Cricetulus griseus: one gene and its partner. The protein of the gene in region 1 purifies or fractionates together with the protein of each later gene. This does not show direct contact. Links are inferred from orthologs where the notes say so. Each region holds a gene or a part of one and is shown in the gene's direction. Other genes may lie near its edges.

Region 1 (8,666 bases):
CTGTGGTAGTTTGGGGTGGCCTGAAATTTATGACTCTTGTTTGTTCCTTAACCACTTCACTCCTGGGATTAAACAAAGCCTATGCTTTTACATGTTCTTTGGAATTCTGATGTGCTTATTTCAAAGTAGTAAATCTCAGATACTTGTTTAAGCAGAATTAGTGATAAATCCTTAAATTCAACACCAGGTGGTAGCCACAATTGAAAAAAGTTGTTCGCCTGCTTAATCACAAATTTATTGCCATTTAAAAATAACTATAAAGCAGTTTTCTTATTAAGATATAGTATAAACTTTAATGCATGAAGAAAAGTGAGACAGAACTTGGCTTTTGTGAACTATTTGTATAGGGATTTTAACAGTGCTGTTTGCTGTCTGGATTTCAGGGGTTAAGAGCTAAGCTGTGTACAGATAAAAACTGGAGCCTCTTTGGCTCCTAATACCAGTTGAAGGACAAAACCTTCTAATCAGTCTGTAGTGGAATTGTCTTCAAAATTTCTTGTAACGTGCAGAGTAGTGGTGGTGCACACCTTTAATCCCAGCACTTGGGAGGCAAAGGCAGGCCAGTCTCTGGCAATTCGAGACCAGCCTGGTCTACAAGAGCTAGTTCCAGGACAGCCTCCAAAGCCACAGAGAAACCTTATCTCAAAAAAAAAAAAAGTGCATATAAAACGTCAAAATCATAAACCCTTACATAGTGTCACTTTGGAGTATGTTTTCATACATACATTAGTTCCCATTTGAGTTAAATTTGACTTTTTTCCTAAAGTGCAGTTTGCAGCTATTTGTCCTGATAAAACTGATTCAAAACTGGCCATTCTCCCACTTAATTGCCTTAAAATTTCTCAGACTTTGAAGATGTAGTAGCAAATGAACTTGAAACAGTTTTTCATCACTTTGAAACTGTTCGTGATGATGTTACTTCTGCCAACTATTCGCAACTATTCGTGGTTTAACACAAAGTTACAGAATAACAGTAACTATTTTGCTTTTTAAGTGAAAATAAGGAAAATATAAAATACCTTTTTTTTTTTTTAAACTCTGATAGTCTGCTATCCTCAACACACCTGATGGTAGTGGAGGAAGTCCTTGAAGTCTATCTCCACATTCCTCTGCTCCTACCCCTGTATAGTGCTGGGCTTAATGAGTGTGAGCTACTACTCCTGGCTCAACATTACAAATTAGATTGTTTTATTACCTTTAAGTGGTTATGCTTAAATAGACTGTTTTTGAGCAGGTTGTATATTGATGTATTCAGGCAGTGTATTCTGTCTAGAACGTAAAACTTGCAACTTGATTGAAAATGAATTGAGTATTTGAGAAAGCATTTAGATGTTATTTTACCCATTTATTAATTGTGTAGTCCTTAAGAGAAATGGGTACATCTTGCTAGTTAGAGGTAAGAATGTATCAAAAAGCATGGTAAAGAGAAGCCACATTGCACTTACCTCTAACATGACCAGCTCCAATGGGTGGGAGCAGGATGAACTCCATAGCAAGATTGTATTTTTTAAAAAAGAAACAAACTTACATGATGTACGTGAGATGACTTTTTATATGAGTTGGCTAAGTGTCCTTTCTAAACTCTCATGAAAAGAAAAGCACCTTTGGGGAAATCCTGCTCAAAATGTGGTCTGGTTTCAGTTCCCTCTCTGTGACCTTACATCTCAGAGGAGCTACATTGATGGAGTTAACCCAATTTACTCTTAACACACACCATTTAAAATATATATATATATATATATGTATATATATATATATATATATCATTTGACAATTGAGCTAATTTGGATTTTTTTTTGTTTTTTGTTTTCTCTTTTGGCCAGGGGTGGGTGGCTAATTAAGCAAACAAATACTTTGTATATTTGGGGTGTTTTTGAAAAAGAGAAAACAGAATTAACTCTCTCCCCCCACCCCAATTTGACTGTAAATTTAGCAAAGGATTTACTCAAATTTTTTAAATTTTTGTTCATATTAGAACTTTATAGTAAATGGGATCACATTGGTTGTTGTCATTGGGAAGTTTTTGGGAGGCTGATTGCCAGTAATGTGTATTACTGAAGTTAAGTGCGTAAGTCGAAGAGGAAGTCAGACCTAAGAATATGTAAGTACTTTTTTAAATTGTGTTAGTTTTAGGAGCTTTGTCTAGTTGCATATAATTAGCAATAACTTGGACAGCATAAGATTAATGCTTTAACTTGTTAGCAGGAGTTTAAAAAGCTGGTTTCTGTTGCCAATAGTTGGTTGGAAGGGAAAATGGAGATGCCACAAATAAAAGGTTTTGGATGTGCAAAACAGTTTTGATTTTATTTCTTACAAACTATAGGACTCCAAGCCCTCTGATCCTTGATCAGAACTACATTAACACCAAAAATCAAGTTATCAAGGCAGAAAGAAGGGTGCTAAAGGAGTTGGGATTTTGTGTTCATGTCAAGCATCCCCATAAGGTGAGTAATAGAATGCAGAAATTACATTTCGTAAGTATTAGGGCTTTTCCTAAAATTTTTACTTGTTTGTGTGGAGAGTTTTCAAAAGCTTTGTTTTGGATGTTGATGTTTGTCAGTAAAATAGGACTCAAAACAGGCTTTATTATTTGTCATTGTGTGATTGTGAATATTTGTGGTTAAATTCTTGTTTTTCTACCTAACAAGATCATGTGGTGACTTCCTCATGTAAGGAATGAATTGTGTAGAAACTGGCACGTTAAAGTGTTGAAAATGGTTGCTGCTCACTGTAAACCATTAATAAAAAGCTTTCTCTTTTGGCTTTCATATTACCCTTCTGAACAGTAGTTGGAAAAATTCAACTATTGGAGATAGCTAGCCCTGCTTTTAACTGGGTGACACTGGCTGGTATCTTTAAGTTATATTTTTCTAATATCATAAAGTGATGATAATCTGAGTCCAGAAACACTTTTGACATGAACTAAAGTAGTTATGCTTTTGGTGTGTCTTCCTGGGAACCAAATGCAAGGCAACATTGTATCATTGAGTTATATGTAGCTTTTATTTAAGAAACTTTAGTATGCTAAGCTTTACTGCAGAAATTAATTACTGCAGTGCTGGGTGTTCTAGAAATGTGCTGTGGCCATTGTGTATACTCAGAGTAGAAATTCTGCCCTTTTTTGATGAATGTTAGAAAACAGAGTTATTAACCACATCTATAAGTACATTTTTATAGAATTGAGCAGTTAACACTGAGTGTTATATGTTGGCCTATATTTGAAATTTTATAGTAATTAAAACTGTAACACTTTAGATGCTTTATTCATTGAACTCTGCTGTGAAAGAACCACCAATACACTAAATGGTTTTTTTCTTCCTTGTCCTCAGATCATTGTAATGTATTTACAAGTCTTAGAATGTGAACGTAACCAAACCCTGGTTCAAACTGCCTGGTAAGTTGCTTTTTTACATTTCTTCTTTAGTCAGGAAAACAGAAGCAGAAATAAAGTAAGTTTCATTTTTTTCTTTCCAAAATAATGAAATAAGTTTGTTTTGGGGCATTTTGTTTTTGTTATTTTTTAACCAAAAGGTAAATAATGCTTATTTCTGCTTCCTGTTTTCTTGGCTTGACTAATTATTTTTAATGGAGAACTCAATTTAACTTTGTTCTTTTTTCTACTCTTTAATTAAAGGGTAGTCCATGATGGTAAGTCATAGAACTCTGCCCTCTGAACTTCAGCCCATGACCTCAGGATGGCCTGATTGGCTAGCCTGCTCTCCAGCCAATCCAGTGCAAGCTCTCATCCGAGATTCACTGAAGTGGTCCATATCCATCTGGCAGCATCTTCTAGTTCTGTCGGGGTGTCAAAAGGATTTGTATATTTGCTTCTAGAAGTAACTATGCATCATGCCTATGTATTTAATGTATACCTGTAACTATCAAAATGAATATTTCATTTTTGATAGATTGTTGTCCAGCCATTATGAACTGTTTTTTTTTTTTTTTTTTTTAAATTGGGTTCAATTAAATTTCTACTTGAAGTGTATAGCATCCATTCTACCAAAGGAGGCTACCTTAAGTTTGTAGCTTTAAATGGATACCTGTTGCCATTTTAGGTTACTCCAGCTATAGAACCATTGCAGGCAGTGATAAGAAGCATTTTAATTTTAAAGAAGTTGATGTTATTTAAATGTTTTTGAAGTTGGGCCTTTGAGATACAGAGAGGTTAAGCAAGGAAATTGTGGTTTAGTCATAAGTGATTCATAAGACTGTTGATAAACAAGCATTAAATAATTCTGGACTTCTCCAGAATGTGTTTTTTTTTTTTTTTTTTTTTTTTTATGACTGCCATGCCTTTCTTGGACTTGGTAGATAACTGGTAACATTAGAAAAGCCACATTGCTTTATAAAATGCATGACTTTTTAATGTGTTCTGTGCAGCAAAAAAAAAAAAAAAATTAAAGTTTTTAACGAGTGTAAGGATTTTAGAAATAATCCATTTAATTTCCAGCTCAGGCTTTTCAGCAAATTACAAAGTTTTTTATTTAGTTAAAAAAATTCATAGGAAAGTTTCACTAGAAGTTTATTTAGTTAGATCATTGCTTTTGTTTATGCTTAATTGCAAAAAGTTATGTTGACAAGGCCATTATGATGTGTATTTATTGTTTACTTTTCTACCTTGATTTTTTTTTTTTTGAAGTTTTTTTTACCCCCTTCTAACTGTAAGAGTAACTTGGTGAGTTCTTACTAAAAATACCTTTTTACCCCTGTTCCTGGTATTGAATTTTTTTTTTTTTTGAAAGAACTTGGTTGACACTGCTTTTTATTATGGATAAAGGAGAGATGGTCAGTAACTAATGGCTTGAAGTATTGTTGGAGTGGTAAACTCTTAAACTCATTATATCAGAATTGACTTCAAAATCATTGCCTTTTATAACAATATGTTGAAAGGATTTTAGGGGTAGATCTATATGCTAATATGGAATTGTTTACAAGTGCTATGGGGGGAGGGTTAGAAATTGTTATCATGGTACAATTTAAAGATGTGAACATAAGGAGAAGAAAAAAGAATGAAGTAGATTGAGTCTCCAGTTTTATGTGCACTTCAGAAGAATTGATTTGCTTATGGACTAAGCTTATAGCTGAAATGTTTTTCAGGAATTACATGAATGACAGTCTTCGAACCAATGTCTTCGTTCGCTTTCAACCAGAGACTATAGCATGTGCTTGTATCTACCTTGCAGCTAGAGCACTTCAGGTAAGTGCTGGGTTTTACAAAGTGAATTCCAAGAGTTTTGTTACTTCTTAGAAGAGCGTAAACTTGAACCATTCTTTTTTTAATCATTTAGATTCCATTGCCTACTCGGCCACATTGGTTTCTTCTTTTTGGTACCACAGAAGAGGAGATTCAGGAAATTTGCATAGAGACCCTTAGACTTTATACCAGGAAAAAGGTAATTTCGGTTACTCAGTTTGGTGCTGATGTCATTTCCAAGAATCTAAAGGGAATACTAACTTGATTTTCATCCAACAGCCTAACTATGAATTGCTGGAAAAAGAAGTAGAAAAAAGAAAAGTAGCCTTACAGGAAGCCAAGTTAAAAGCAAAGGGATTGAATCCCGATGGAACTCCAGCTCTTTCAACCCTTGGTGGATTTTCTCCAGCTTCTAAACCATGTAAGTTACAATCATAATTGAATAAACTATAACCATAGGAAGAAGTGTATGTTGCTAGATCACTTGGCGTTGGTCAGTTGCTTAGAGATCAATTAAGAAATTGTTAATGGGTGTTTTGGGACAAGTCAGCCTAAGGGTCAGAAGTGGAAGGAGTACTTTTAGGTTGTATTGGAAACTTGTTCTCTGCTAAATCTTGCCCTTTTGTCCTTGTCTATTAAAAGCCTCACCAAGAGAAGTAAAAGCTGAAGAAAAATCGCCAATCTCCATTAATGTGAAGACAGTCAAAAAAGAACCCGAGGATAGACAACAGGCTTCGAAAAGCCCTTATAATGGGTAAGTGTGCTTCAAGGGCTTGGGTATTTATTGCTAAATCTTTGTGCATATCCTAAAACAATGTAAAAAACACTGCCTGCATTTTCTTTAAGTGTAAGAAAAGACAGCAAGAGAAGCAGGAACAGCAGAAGTGCTAGTAGATCAAGGTCAAGAACCAGATCGCGCTCTAGATCACACACCCCAAGAAGACAGTGAGTAATGGGTCCTGTGTGGTGGAGCGGGCTTAAGACCTTTGAAAAGTGAACGAGAGCTTTAGGCTAGGAGGAAGTATTTGGGTTTTTTGTTGGTATAGCAGGTGTGTGTGTGTGTGTGTGTGTGTGTGTGTGTGTGTGTGTGAGAGGGAGAGAGGAGAGAGAGAGAGAGAGAGAGAGAGAGAGAGAGAGAGAGAGAGAGAGAGCCTGTTTGCTAGGATTACAAGCATGTTGTCGGGATTAGGCTTAATGTAAAGAGAAATAAATTTAGAGACACACTTTTGGATGTGTGTGGAACTTAGTTGTGTGTTTTTAAGTGTGACTAAGTGTTATATACAGAAGTTACAGGAAATTTTGTAAAAGTCAGTTCTCTACTGATACTATATGGGTCCTAAATCAAACCCTGGTCTTTGGGCTTGATGGCAGGCCCCTTTTATCTGATGAGCCATTTCACTGATGCATTTTAGGCATTATTTTGTTTGTTCTACCCCTCATTTTTTTTGAAAAGTATTAAGAAAATGCTATGGGGTATATGTATGTAAAGCTATTTATGTGAAAACATTCTTTATATTTTTAATACATTAATGTATTGAAAAGTCCAAGACTTCCAGTCAGCTTTGCAACTGGGTTGCAGTTTTCTTCTGGTGGTTCAGTGGTACTTTGATCATGTGGGAGATACTCAGTAAAAAAAGCATCTACCTAGTTCTAGGACACATCAGTGACCCCCTTCACTGGACTACAGTCATAGGATGTTTTGTCTAAAGTAAAACTTCAGTTGAAAGGGGTCAGGGTGGGGAGACTGAGGAGCATTGTCAGTTCAGCTTTTCATTGCTCATAGCTGATTGTTTTGAGCTTGCTAATGAACAATAGTTATTAATCTGTTCTCACTAGAAACCAAACCTAAACTTGAAACTTTTATTGTCTAAGTTACAATAATAGGCGAAGTCGATCTGGAACATACAGCTCAAGATCAAGAAGCAGGTCCCGCAGTCACAGTGAAAGCCCTCGAAGACATCATAATCATGGTTCTCCTCACCTTAAGGCCAAACATACCAGAGAAGATTTAAAAAGCTCAAATAGACATGGTCATAAAAGGAAAAAATCTCGGTCTCGATCTCAGAGCAAGTCTCGGGATCACTCAGATGTTGCCAAGAAACACAGGCATGAAAGGGGACATCACAGAGACAGGCGTGAAAGATCTCGCTCCTTTGAGAGATCCCATAAAAGCAAGCACCATGGTGGCAGTCGCTCAGGACATGGCAGGCATAGGCGTTGACTTTCTTCCTCTGACACTGCATCATTGGTTTGTGGTTGTGCAGTGTGATGTATGGACTCAATCAAAACATGAAGCAAACTGATTAGGAATTGATTTATTAAAATTGTCTAGGTCTCTAGAAACACTGAGGACATTTTCTTTGGAAAAGAACTATGTTAAGGTTTTTTGCACATTAAAATGCCCTAGCAGTATCTAATTGAAAACCATGGTCAGGTTCAATTGTACTTTATTAGAGTTGTGTATTGTTTATTGCTACAAGAACTGGAGCGTGAATTCTGTAAAAATGTATCTTATTTTTATACAGATAAAACTTGCAGACACTGTTCTATTTAAGTGGTTATTTGTTTAAATGATGGTGAATACTTTCTTAACACTGGTTTGTCTGCATGTGTAAAGATTTTTACAAGGAAATAAAATGCAAATCTTGTTTTTCTAAATGGCTTCAAATATCTTATTTAAATTGCTAAGAAGCAAGATTGTAGTGGTAAGATGGCTTTGTGCTGATTTCTGAAAGGTGTTTGGGATAAGGTCTCGCAGAATGTAATGGTCATTGTGTATAGAGGCAAAGCAAATAGGAGTGGCCTGATATGCTACTGAACCACTAAAATGCTAAACCTGATTTGAGCTTAATGTATCAGAAGATAATTTTAAATCTTAGTTATTTGTAATGTGAAAAATCACACCATAAAGCTAAGACCTATATGGAGGTCTTAAGTGGTTTGGCATTCCTGACATTCAGTGGTACAGCTTAATCTAGGATTGTCAAATTCATTAATGAGATAAAGTATTGATTACAAAGACATGATGAAACAATTCATGCACAAATGAATATCCAGTTACTAGGGATGTACCGGGCAGTGGTGCACACCTTTAGTCCCAGCACTCGGGAGGTAGAGGCAGGCAGATCTCTGTGAGTTCACGAGACCAGCCTGGTTCCAGGACAGCCTCCAAAGCCACAGAGAAACCCTGTCTCGAGAAAAAACAACAACAAAAAAGTTACTAGAGATGCATTGGCAAAGGATTGGGTTATTTTTAAACATCAAGACTTCAATGTATTGTATTGTGTAAGAGGAGGCAGGTGTGGTCAAAAGACCACCTTATGCAGTCAGATCTGTGGGTTCGAGTCAATGTTACCAGGTGGTGAGCACATATATCCTCTTGAGATCACCTTATTAAAGGTCAGCTACAGACAGGTTGATAGGCCCACCTCTAGGAAAAATAGAAGACAGTCTCGGAAGAAAGGAATGT
Region 2 (8,666 bases), on another chromosome or scaffold:
AGCTAACATACAACAAGGCACTTCTGCCCCTAAAAAAACTTACACACAGTTTGCATACTCCCAAAAAAATCTTACACATGGTTATTCATTGCAGCATTGTTCTCAACAGCCAGAAGTAGAAACAACCCAAGTCAGTAAACTAGTAAGTTCATAAATGATTCAGTCTCAAAATTAAATAAGCTCAGTGAGAAAGGTGAACAAAGTACTGTAGCATTAGGAATGTCTGGTAGGAAGAAATCTCTAGAACAGATACCCGATCCACCAGTGGCTTCAAGAAGCTTGGCGTGGGCATTATCTCAAACTCCAGGAAACTGTGAAGGTGCTGAAAAGCTCTGAAACATGGTGACTTGGTTATACAGCTGTCAGTTTACTAAAGATCATTGGCTTTTAACACCACAAAGCCTTTTGATTCTATTACAGGAAGTAGTTTTCTCTTTTAGAATAGTAATGATAATTCTTAAATGCTGGCTCAGGTTTTATGTTTACGGAAAATGTAAATGCTTCTTATCTGGAAAACTCATAGCCCACATAGCATAAGTGTGCCTTGTTTTAAGATACGTTAAGGTGTCATTCTTCATGCCCACATGGATTCTGAGGTCCCACACTCTGGCCTCTCATCCCTTCTTTTTAAAGCAACCTTCAGCATGATCATTGACAGCCCCCTTTCCACTGGCTGCCAGCTGTAGTGTCCACGGAGAGCATCTTTTTGTTTCTCTCCTTAAAGGCAGTAAGCTGTCCTTTTTTGAGACTGTTCAAGTTAAAGTGTCACAAATAATAAAAATGTGTTTGCGTTGTGGGTGGTAGAGGGTTTGCTTACTTTTCTCTGTGCTTTCTTACCTACTAGGCTCTGGATTACTGCCACAGCAAGGGAATCATGCACAGGGATGTGAAACCTCACAATGTCATGATAGATCACCAACAAAAAAAGGTACCAATCCAGCCAGGCAGCACCAAATCTTTGCTGAAGGTTTAGGAAAAACCTAAACATTGTCCAATAGCATTGTGGTGTATGTAGACCACACTGATTTCTTAAGTAGACTGCATTACTTTGACTTCTCTAGTCTCCAGGAAGTACACAGAGACCTTGACTTTGGTCACTAGTTTTATTTTGGTTTTAGTGTTCAAAGGGCCTCAGGAAGAAACTACATCAGTGGTCTCTGCTTTGATTCTTCGTGAGCATTAGACCAGTCAGACTAGCCCTAAAAAAAATACACTTGGGTGTTTCCAACTCTGGTTGTCATAGACAGGGTTAGCTTAGTGACCAACTAGAGCAGCACTCTAAGGGTGTGACTTACGTGGTCACACACGTAAGCCCTTCATTAGTGCCTGGAGCTTATGTTAAGAGCTATGAATGGTGGGGGCATGTGTTCCACATGTAAGTAGCATGGAGACCAGAAAAAAATTAAAAAAAAAAAAAAAAAAACAGTATAACTTAAAAGGGAAAAAACTCAGATATATTCCAAGTACTGTGCTCCATAAATGACCTCATCTGCAGTTTCTGAAGTAAACTTTTTCCTGGGTACACTGTGTGTGGCCGAATACCTGTTGTAGAGATGCAGTGTGGCCTCGTCATAGGCAATGGCATCTCAAAGTGCACCTTACCCATTCTGTTGGGTCTTTGTCTTTCTCATAGCTCCGACTGATTGATTGGGGTCTGGCGGAGTTCTATCATCCTGCCCAGGAGTACAATGTTCGAGTGGCCTCGAGGTACTTCAAGGGACCAGAGCTCCTTGTGGACTATCAGGTGAACTTATTAGTGAAGCTGCGCAGAGCTATTTTTATATTTCCTTAGGAATTTTCCTGGTTGCTGTGTGGTCACTTTGGATGCATTCAAAACCCAGTTATTCTACTCTAAAGGTTTTACTCAGCAACATTAAAAAATTAATTATTTTTATGCATGTATGTATATGTGCCACAGCCCATGTGGGAAGGTCGGAAGACAACTTGCAGGTGTTTGTTCTCTCCACCATATTGGTTCTTGTTACTAAACTTAGTTTAGTAGGCTTGACAGCCTTTACCAGCTGAGTCTTTTGGTGGCTTTTTGGGGTGGCGGGGTGCGGTGACTTAGTTACAGAGTAATTGCAGAGAGGCTGAGGATGGAACTTAGTAGTAGATGTTTGCCTAATGTGTATAAGGCTCTCTCAAAAGTCAGAGCTAGAGGTCAGATGTCAAAAGTCAGAGCTAGAGGTCAGATGGATATGAGAAACTTAATCAATGAGTGTCTAACTATCCTTGACTGATGGATCATCCTTCCTGCATTCAGATGTATGATTACAGCTTAGACATGTGGAGCTTGGGCTGCATGTTAGCGAGCATGATATTCCGAAAGGAGCCATTCTTCCATGGGCAGGACAACTATGACCAGGTGAGCAGATTCATCCCTTGCTTGTTTGTCATGAATGTTAGGGAAATAGCCTCTGGGGACTGTGTAAGCTAAAGGATTGTTCAGAATTGTATGAGTGAGCATGAGGGCCCCAAGCATGCCGAGACAGACAATGCTGCCTAGTGAACTTTCAAGATGGGTCTAAGAAGTAAGGCACTTCTTTATCTAACAAAATCACATTATAGTTATTTGATCAGTGTCCCCAAAGATGTTAGCATCTAAGTTATATCAACCCTTTAAAAGCAGTTTAGGGGGCTGGAGAGATGGCTCAGAGGTTAAGAGCACTGACTGATCTTCCAGAGGTCCTGAGTTCAATTTCCAGCAACCACATGGTGGCTCACAACCATCGGTTATGAGATCTGGTGCCCTCTTCTGGCCTGCAGGGATATATGCAGGCTGAACACTATATACATAATAATTTTTTTTTTTTTTTTTAAAGCAGTTTAGAAACTTGCATTCATGTGAGTGTTGTGTTCTTAAGTCTCTGTTTATCCTAGACTCGGGTCTCTGTTAAGTCATTTGGGATTTGAGTGGCATGGGATTTCCTGATTCCCAGGCCTAGCACAGTGTCCACAAAAGCTCACAGAAAGCACTGTGCTTGGTGGTTGGGTCAGTTTTGTTCTGTGTTTCAGCTTGTTCGAATTGCCAAGGTTCTGGGGACAGATGAGCTGTATGGATATCTGAAGAAGTACCACATAGACCTAGATCCACACTTCAATGATATCTTGGGACAGTAAGTAAGAAAGGAGAGGGAGGGAGGGAGAGAAGGAGAAAGGAAAGAAGGAAGCACTTTGCTCTACTTCAGAAGTGGTAAAGTTAGACAACATCCAGTTTCCCTTTTCTAACTTCAATATTGATATTTATTTACTTATTTATTGAATGAACCAGGGTCTCAGTGGCTATGTAGATCAGGGCTAGTTTTGAACTCACCGGGATCTACCTGCCTTGGCCTCCCAAATGGTACGACTCCTATTTATCAGTAGAAAATGGAAAATAAGCCTTGTGTAGATATGCATGTTTCTAATCACAACACTTGGGAGGCTGCAGCAGGAGAATCAAGAGTTTGATCCTGTGGAAGCAAATGGAAAATAAAGTCATAATGTTATAGAAAAAATGTTTATTTGGTCAAAGCTTGTGCTTTTTCAAAAGAAATTATTTCTTCTTGTTTTATATGTAAGCCTGTTTTACCTGTGTGCACATAATGTACTGTGTGTGTATGCTTAGCCAGAAAAGGGGTCCTCTGGAAGTAGAGTTACAGATAGTTAATAGCTACCATGTGGGTGCTGGGAACTGAACCTGGGTTCACTGGGAAAGCAGCCAGTGCTCTTAACTACTGAGCCATCTCCCTAGCCCTGCATATGCTTATTTTGATGGCAAATCTTAGAAAACGAGGCTTCTTCAAATAAGTGAATAGCTTATTTTCTGAAGTTTTATAATAAATATTAAGGCATGCTAAATTTTCAGGTACAGTACCTAGTTTCGTGACTTAGGTATTTTGGGGTGGGGATGGTCTTATTTGTTTGCTGTGTAGCCTCCTGGCCTCAACCTGAGTGCTCAATTATAGGTGTGTGCCACCATGTCCAGCCTCAGTGCAGTGTGTTAAAAGTAAATGTTTGGCTAGTGGTCTTCAGGCATTATTTTATGAAATTGCTTGTTTCTAAAGCCAACCTTCTAAATATATCTACTGACCAGTGCATCACTTAGTCACCGCCAGGCCTTACTCACGGTTGATTAAAAGACAGGCATAAGAGTAATCCAGAAAGATTGAACAATTCTCCCTCAGATATAGATATTTTCAATAGATTCTGCTCATCTAATAATTGAGCAGTTTTATGTCATGGTTATAACTGTGGGTGACAGTGTGTGTATACTAGCCCATTTGAAGTGGGCACCGATAAGAATGAGCTTCAGCTGTTGCACGAAGTGCAGTATTCTAAGGGTTTGTTTATGTTATGTCTATTAAAGGAGGGTTTATCTGGTTGTTTAGTCTCAGAATACTAATATTCACTTTGTTTGTTTTTGTTTTTTAGACATTCACGGAAGCGCTGGGAAAACTTTATCCATAGTGAAAACAGACACCTTGTCAGTCCTGAGGCCCTAGATCTTCTTGACAAGCTCCTGCGGTACGACCATCAACAGAGACTGACTGCCAAAGAGGCCATGGAGCACCCGTACTTCTGTGAGTTATTAAATGGCAAAAGATGTCACCTTTATCTTTGGGGTCAGACAGAAAACTAGGTATTTGGATTTAGATCAGCCTAGGAATTTGGCTTTAAATTTTATTCATTTTACTGGACCACTGAGGCCATTTTATGGGTGATTTGATTAGTTCTCGAAGGTGTTTGCTGTTCAATGTTAGTAGTACCTCTGAGGCCAGGCTGTATAACCCACTGTCATCACCCTGGGCTTGTATACTGAAAGGTATCTAAGATTTTTTTTTCAAGTGCAAAAACCTAATCAAAGATTATTTTTTCTCTTTTAAAAAAAATTTAGGGGGGGTGGAGGAGGAGGGATGGGGGTGAGGGAAAGGGAGAAGGGATTGACATATGAAACAAGCTTGTTTCTAATTTGAACCAATTAATAATAATAATAATAATAATAATAATAATAATAATATTTAGTTAAAAGTAGTAAGATCAGGTCGGGTGGTGGTGGCAGCACACACCTTTAATCCCAGCACTCAGGAGGCAGAGGCAGGCAGATCTCTGTGATTTTGAGGCCAGACTGGTCTACAGAGTGAGTTCCGGGACAGCCAGGGCTACACAGAGAAACCCTGTCTTGAAAAACAAAACAAAGTAGTAAGATCATTGCTTTTTTAATGTGATTCTAAAGGAAGCAACATGTAAGCAAGAGGAATTGCAGGTAAGCAGGTAGCAGGTATGGCAGCTGGATTCTGACCTGTGACATCTCTCGGAGCATATGTGTTCCTTCTGCACTTGCTTGTGTTTTGGGTCCATGTAGTGTTCTTCCCACTGAAAGTCTCCTAGACACATCACCCTTGTCATTGACAGAAGAGGGTGGCTTAGTCTAGTCATGGAAGAAGTTGAATGTGACTTATCTTCATTTCTGTTCCTTAAAGTTTTTGTCTGTTGTTTGACCACTTTTTCCTTTGGAGTTTACTAATTCCCAGTAATATTAACAGATAGGAAGGACTTATTGCCATGATCTTAAACTTTAGGCAGAAGTTTAAGGCAACAAAAAAATGTAAAGGGTCTTCTCATTTAGCCTTCTGGACCCTAAACAGCTGACATTCCATTGTTTGCTTTCTAATTTCCAACACAGAAAGCTGCTTTTATCCTTCAAGATAGGCCACTTTAGGATATTGGTGTTGCCCTGAGTGGTGGTCCACTCCTTTAAACCAAGTACTCAGAGGCAAAGTTAGTCAGATCTTTGTGAGTCTAAGGCCAGCTTGGGATACATAGTAAGACTGTATCTTAAAAACAACAACAACAACAAACAAACAAACAAAATAGCCAGGCGGTGGTGATGCATACCTTTAATTCCAGGATTGGGAAGGCAGAGGCAAGTGGATCCCTGAGTTCAAATTGTCCAGCCTGAACTACAGAGTGAGTTCCATGATAGCCTAGGCTACACAGAGAAACCCTGTCTCAAAAAACAAGCAAGCAAGCTAGCAAACAAACAAAACCAAAATAAAAAGCAGTACTGGTGTAAACTCATGAGGCAAATGTGTAAGGATTGCAAATTTAAGACCATCTAAGGTATATAGTTAGGCCCTGCCTCAGGAATAATAATAAAAACAACCTGATAGATATTTTAGATAATCATTGTTTGTTTACTTCCCTAAATAAACTCCATATTTCACTGCTGCTTAAAATGGCTGGGGTTTTGTTTGTTTGTTTTCTTTTTTCTTGGGGGGGGGGCGTGTCCCAGACAGGGTTTCTCTATGGCTTCGGAGGCTGTCCTGAAACTAGTTCTTGTAGATCCGCCTGCCTCTGCCTCCCAAGTGCTGGAACTAAAGGCCTGCGCCACCACCTCCCAGTTGTCAATGGCTTTTTTATTCACCCTTGTTTATGACATGCTAGGTATGATGTTGGTACTCAGAAATCACCAGAAATATTGTGAATTTTGAACAGTGGTGAGTTGGGGTCTCTGCTTTTTAGCAGTAGGGTCTGTATTCTAAGGAAGTAGAAAAAAATCAACTCTATATAATTCCTCAGTGGGCATGAGGGCCACCCTGGCCTATGCTGGAGGCTAAGGCTAAAGAAGAATGAGAGTTCAGTGCTAGTCTGAGCAACAAAAAAAATTTTCAGAAGGAGTTGAGGATGTGACTTAGTTGATTGCCTAGCATGTGTGAGACTGGGTTCTATTCCCTGCCTTGAGGGCAAAAAGAAAAGGAGTTCTTTCCTGGTCATGTCTTGGTGCCTGGTTCTTGTGTGGCCTGAGTTCCATGTAAGTGTCTGTCTTGGTGCATATAGAAGAGGAAAGGCAGGTTAGCCATGGCATTCCCACTACACCCTCAGTGCTGGTGCTGACATGGAGACCTGTGCTCCTCCTCTCTTGCAGACCCTGTGGTGAAGGAGCAGTCCCAGCCTTGTGCAGAGAACACCGTGCTTTCCAGTGGCCTCAGCGCAGCACGATGAAGCCTGGGGAATCGACGGTAATGCGGCACTGATGCTTGCCAATAAAACCAACCAACCAAACAAAAACTTGAAGGAAACTGCAGTGTGATAAAAAGAAATTCTAATCATTCCTTCTAAAGGCAAAGAAGAGTAAAGACCTAAAGCCTGTCAAAAGCAAGAAACTCCCCAGTACTAGTCTGCAGGGAGCTGCGCTGTACAGTGTGGCAGTGCACATAGTTCAGGATCTGAGGGGACTCTCCCTTTGGAATGCATGGGAGATGAGAAGCTCGGAGTTGTTGTACACGTACCTGCGTTTAACAGGATACCACTGTTGAATTAACCCGTTCGGTCAACAAGCTCTGAATATCTGACTTCCTATCTATTCCATTGTGGTGTCTGGTTTTCTTCTGTGAGAATTCAGGCTCAAGTTTTAGCAAGTCAGCAGTCTATTCTGACACACCAGCCTCATTTACAAAAAAAAAAAAAAAAAAAAGAAAAAGAAAAGAAAAAAGAAAAGAAAAAAAAGATTAAAACAGTGACAGTATTTTTTTTAAGCTCTTTTACAAATTCATGTGTTATGTATTTTTTTATGACATGAGCTCTCCAGGAAATGTACCTCATTCTTGCAGTTTTCTTCTAAGTATATTCATTTGGAAGCAAACTGCAGTCACTCTCACCACATCCTCTTTAGTGTCGGAAGATGGCACTGTAAATCTTGAGATGCCATGAACAGGTCCCAGGTTCATTAGAAGTTTCATGCTGTGTGCATAACTTGGGGCTCACCTTTATTGATTTGCCTAACTATTGAATCTTGTTGCTTTTTCTTTTCTTTTTTCCTTTTTCTTTTTTCTCTCTTTTTTTTTTTTTTTTTAGCGCCACCCCCCATAAGGAAAACTTCACCATTTCTCAGCACATCTTTGTGTGGGCACCTACTTCAATGTACCACCCTAAAACAAAGACTTATTTTTGTTCACAGCCATAGCTGCAGCTGGAACGTTAGTCTTCCGGCAGGTCAAAGAGGGAGGGAAGTGTTCTATTAGAATGTATTCAGGAAAGATCTCACATATGCAAAAGGCACACCTACCATCTTCCCTCTTTTTCACCCCGTGACAAACAGGTCTGGCTACAATCAGGGTGATGGGCATTTACAGCTCTAATAGGTCATACATGAGTGTAATGGCAAAGAAGTATCTGACATGCAGACGATAGCTTGTGGGCAAGGCTGTCCTGTGACTCCTGCAGCTGGCTGGAGAGAGATGGCCAGGGCCTGGGAGAGGAAGGGGGCTCCTGGAGCAAGTGTCACAGCTATGTGCTAACCTTCATGTTAGCAGAGAGCTAGATTTTGTTTGGGGTTTTTTGTTTTTGTTTTTTATAGAGCTGATTTCATTTGGGGGACTGGTCACTGACATGGTTTGCCAGCTAGTCCCTTCTCCTTGGCTGCAGAGCCATGCATCAGCTTTGGGGACCTAACATGCTTGGGGTATCTACCACATCACACTTAGGGTTTCTTCATTAACTATTTAATAATGCCATACATTTTTATAAGGTTAGATTGTTTGTTTGAAACATCTGTTTACATTCCAAATTCCAATAAACTTGTATTGGTATTGGTAGCAGGTCCATCTCTAAATGCAGATTCTATTTTGTCGTTTGGTCTGTGTGAACGTAAAAGACAAATGTAACTCTTCTTGATAGTATGGAGT

What was found.
Region 2: the proteins of Ccnl1 (region 1) and Csnk2a2 purify together in Homo sapiens (affinity purification with mass spectrometry; 4 studies listed by BioGRID and IntAct, with this or other methods). This does not show direct contact. The link is inferred for Cricetulus griseus from reciprocal best matches to the Homo sapiens genes CCNL1 and CSNK2A2.

The regions. Positions count from the first base shown.
Region 1 is NW_023276806.1:86,989,870-86,998,535, forward strand, and holds the end of Ccnl1 (cyclin-L1), read left to right. Parts: intron 1-2,323; coding exon 2,324-2,444; intron 2,445-3,329; coding exon 3,330-3,394; intron 3,395-3,634; exon of another isoform or gene 3,635-3,648; intron 3,649-5,100; coding exon 5,101-5,200; intron 5,201-5,291; coding exon 5,292-5,396; intron 5,397-5,476; coding exon 5,477-5,618; intron 5,619-5,839; coding exon 5,840-5,951; intron 5,952-6,043; coding exon 6,044-6,142; intron 6,143-7,069; coding exon 7,070-7,418; 3' UTR 7,419-7,855; downstream 7,856-8,666. UniProt on the Homo sapiens protein: Involved in pre-mRNA splicing. Functions in association with cyclin-dependent kinases (CDKs). Inhibited by the CDK-specific inhibitor CDKN1A/p21. May play a role in the regulation of RNA polymerase II (pol II).
Region 2 is NC_048596.1:171,638,127-171,646,792, reverse strand, and holds part of Csnk2a2 (casein kinase II subunit alpha'), read left to right. Parts: intron 1-844; coding exon 845-928; intron 929-1,633; coding exon 1,634-1,744; intron 1,745-2,263; coding exon 2,264-2,365; intron 2,366-3,015; coding exon 3,016-3,116; intron 3,117-4,413; coding exon 4,414-4,562; intron 4,563-6,907; coding exon 6,908-6,984; 3' UTR 6,985-7,001; exon of another isoform or gene 7,002-8,666.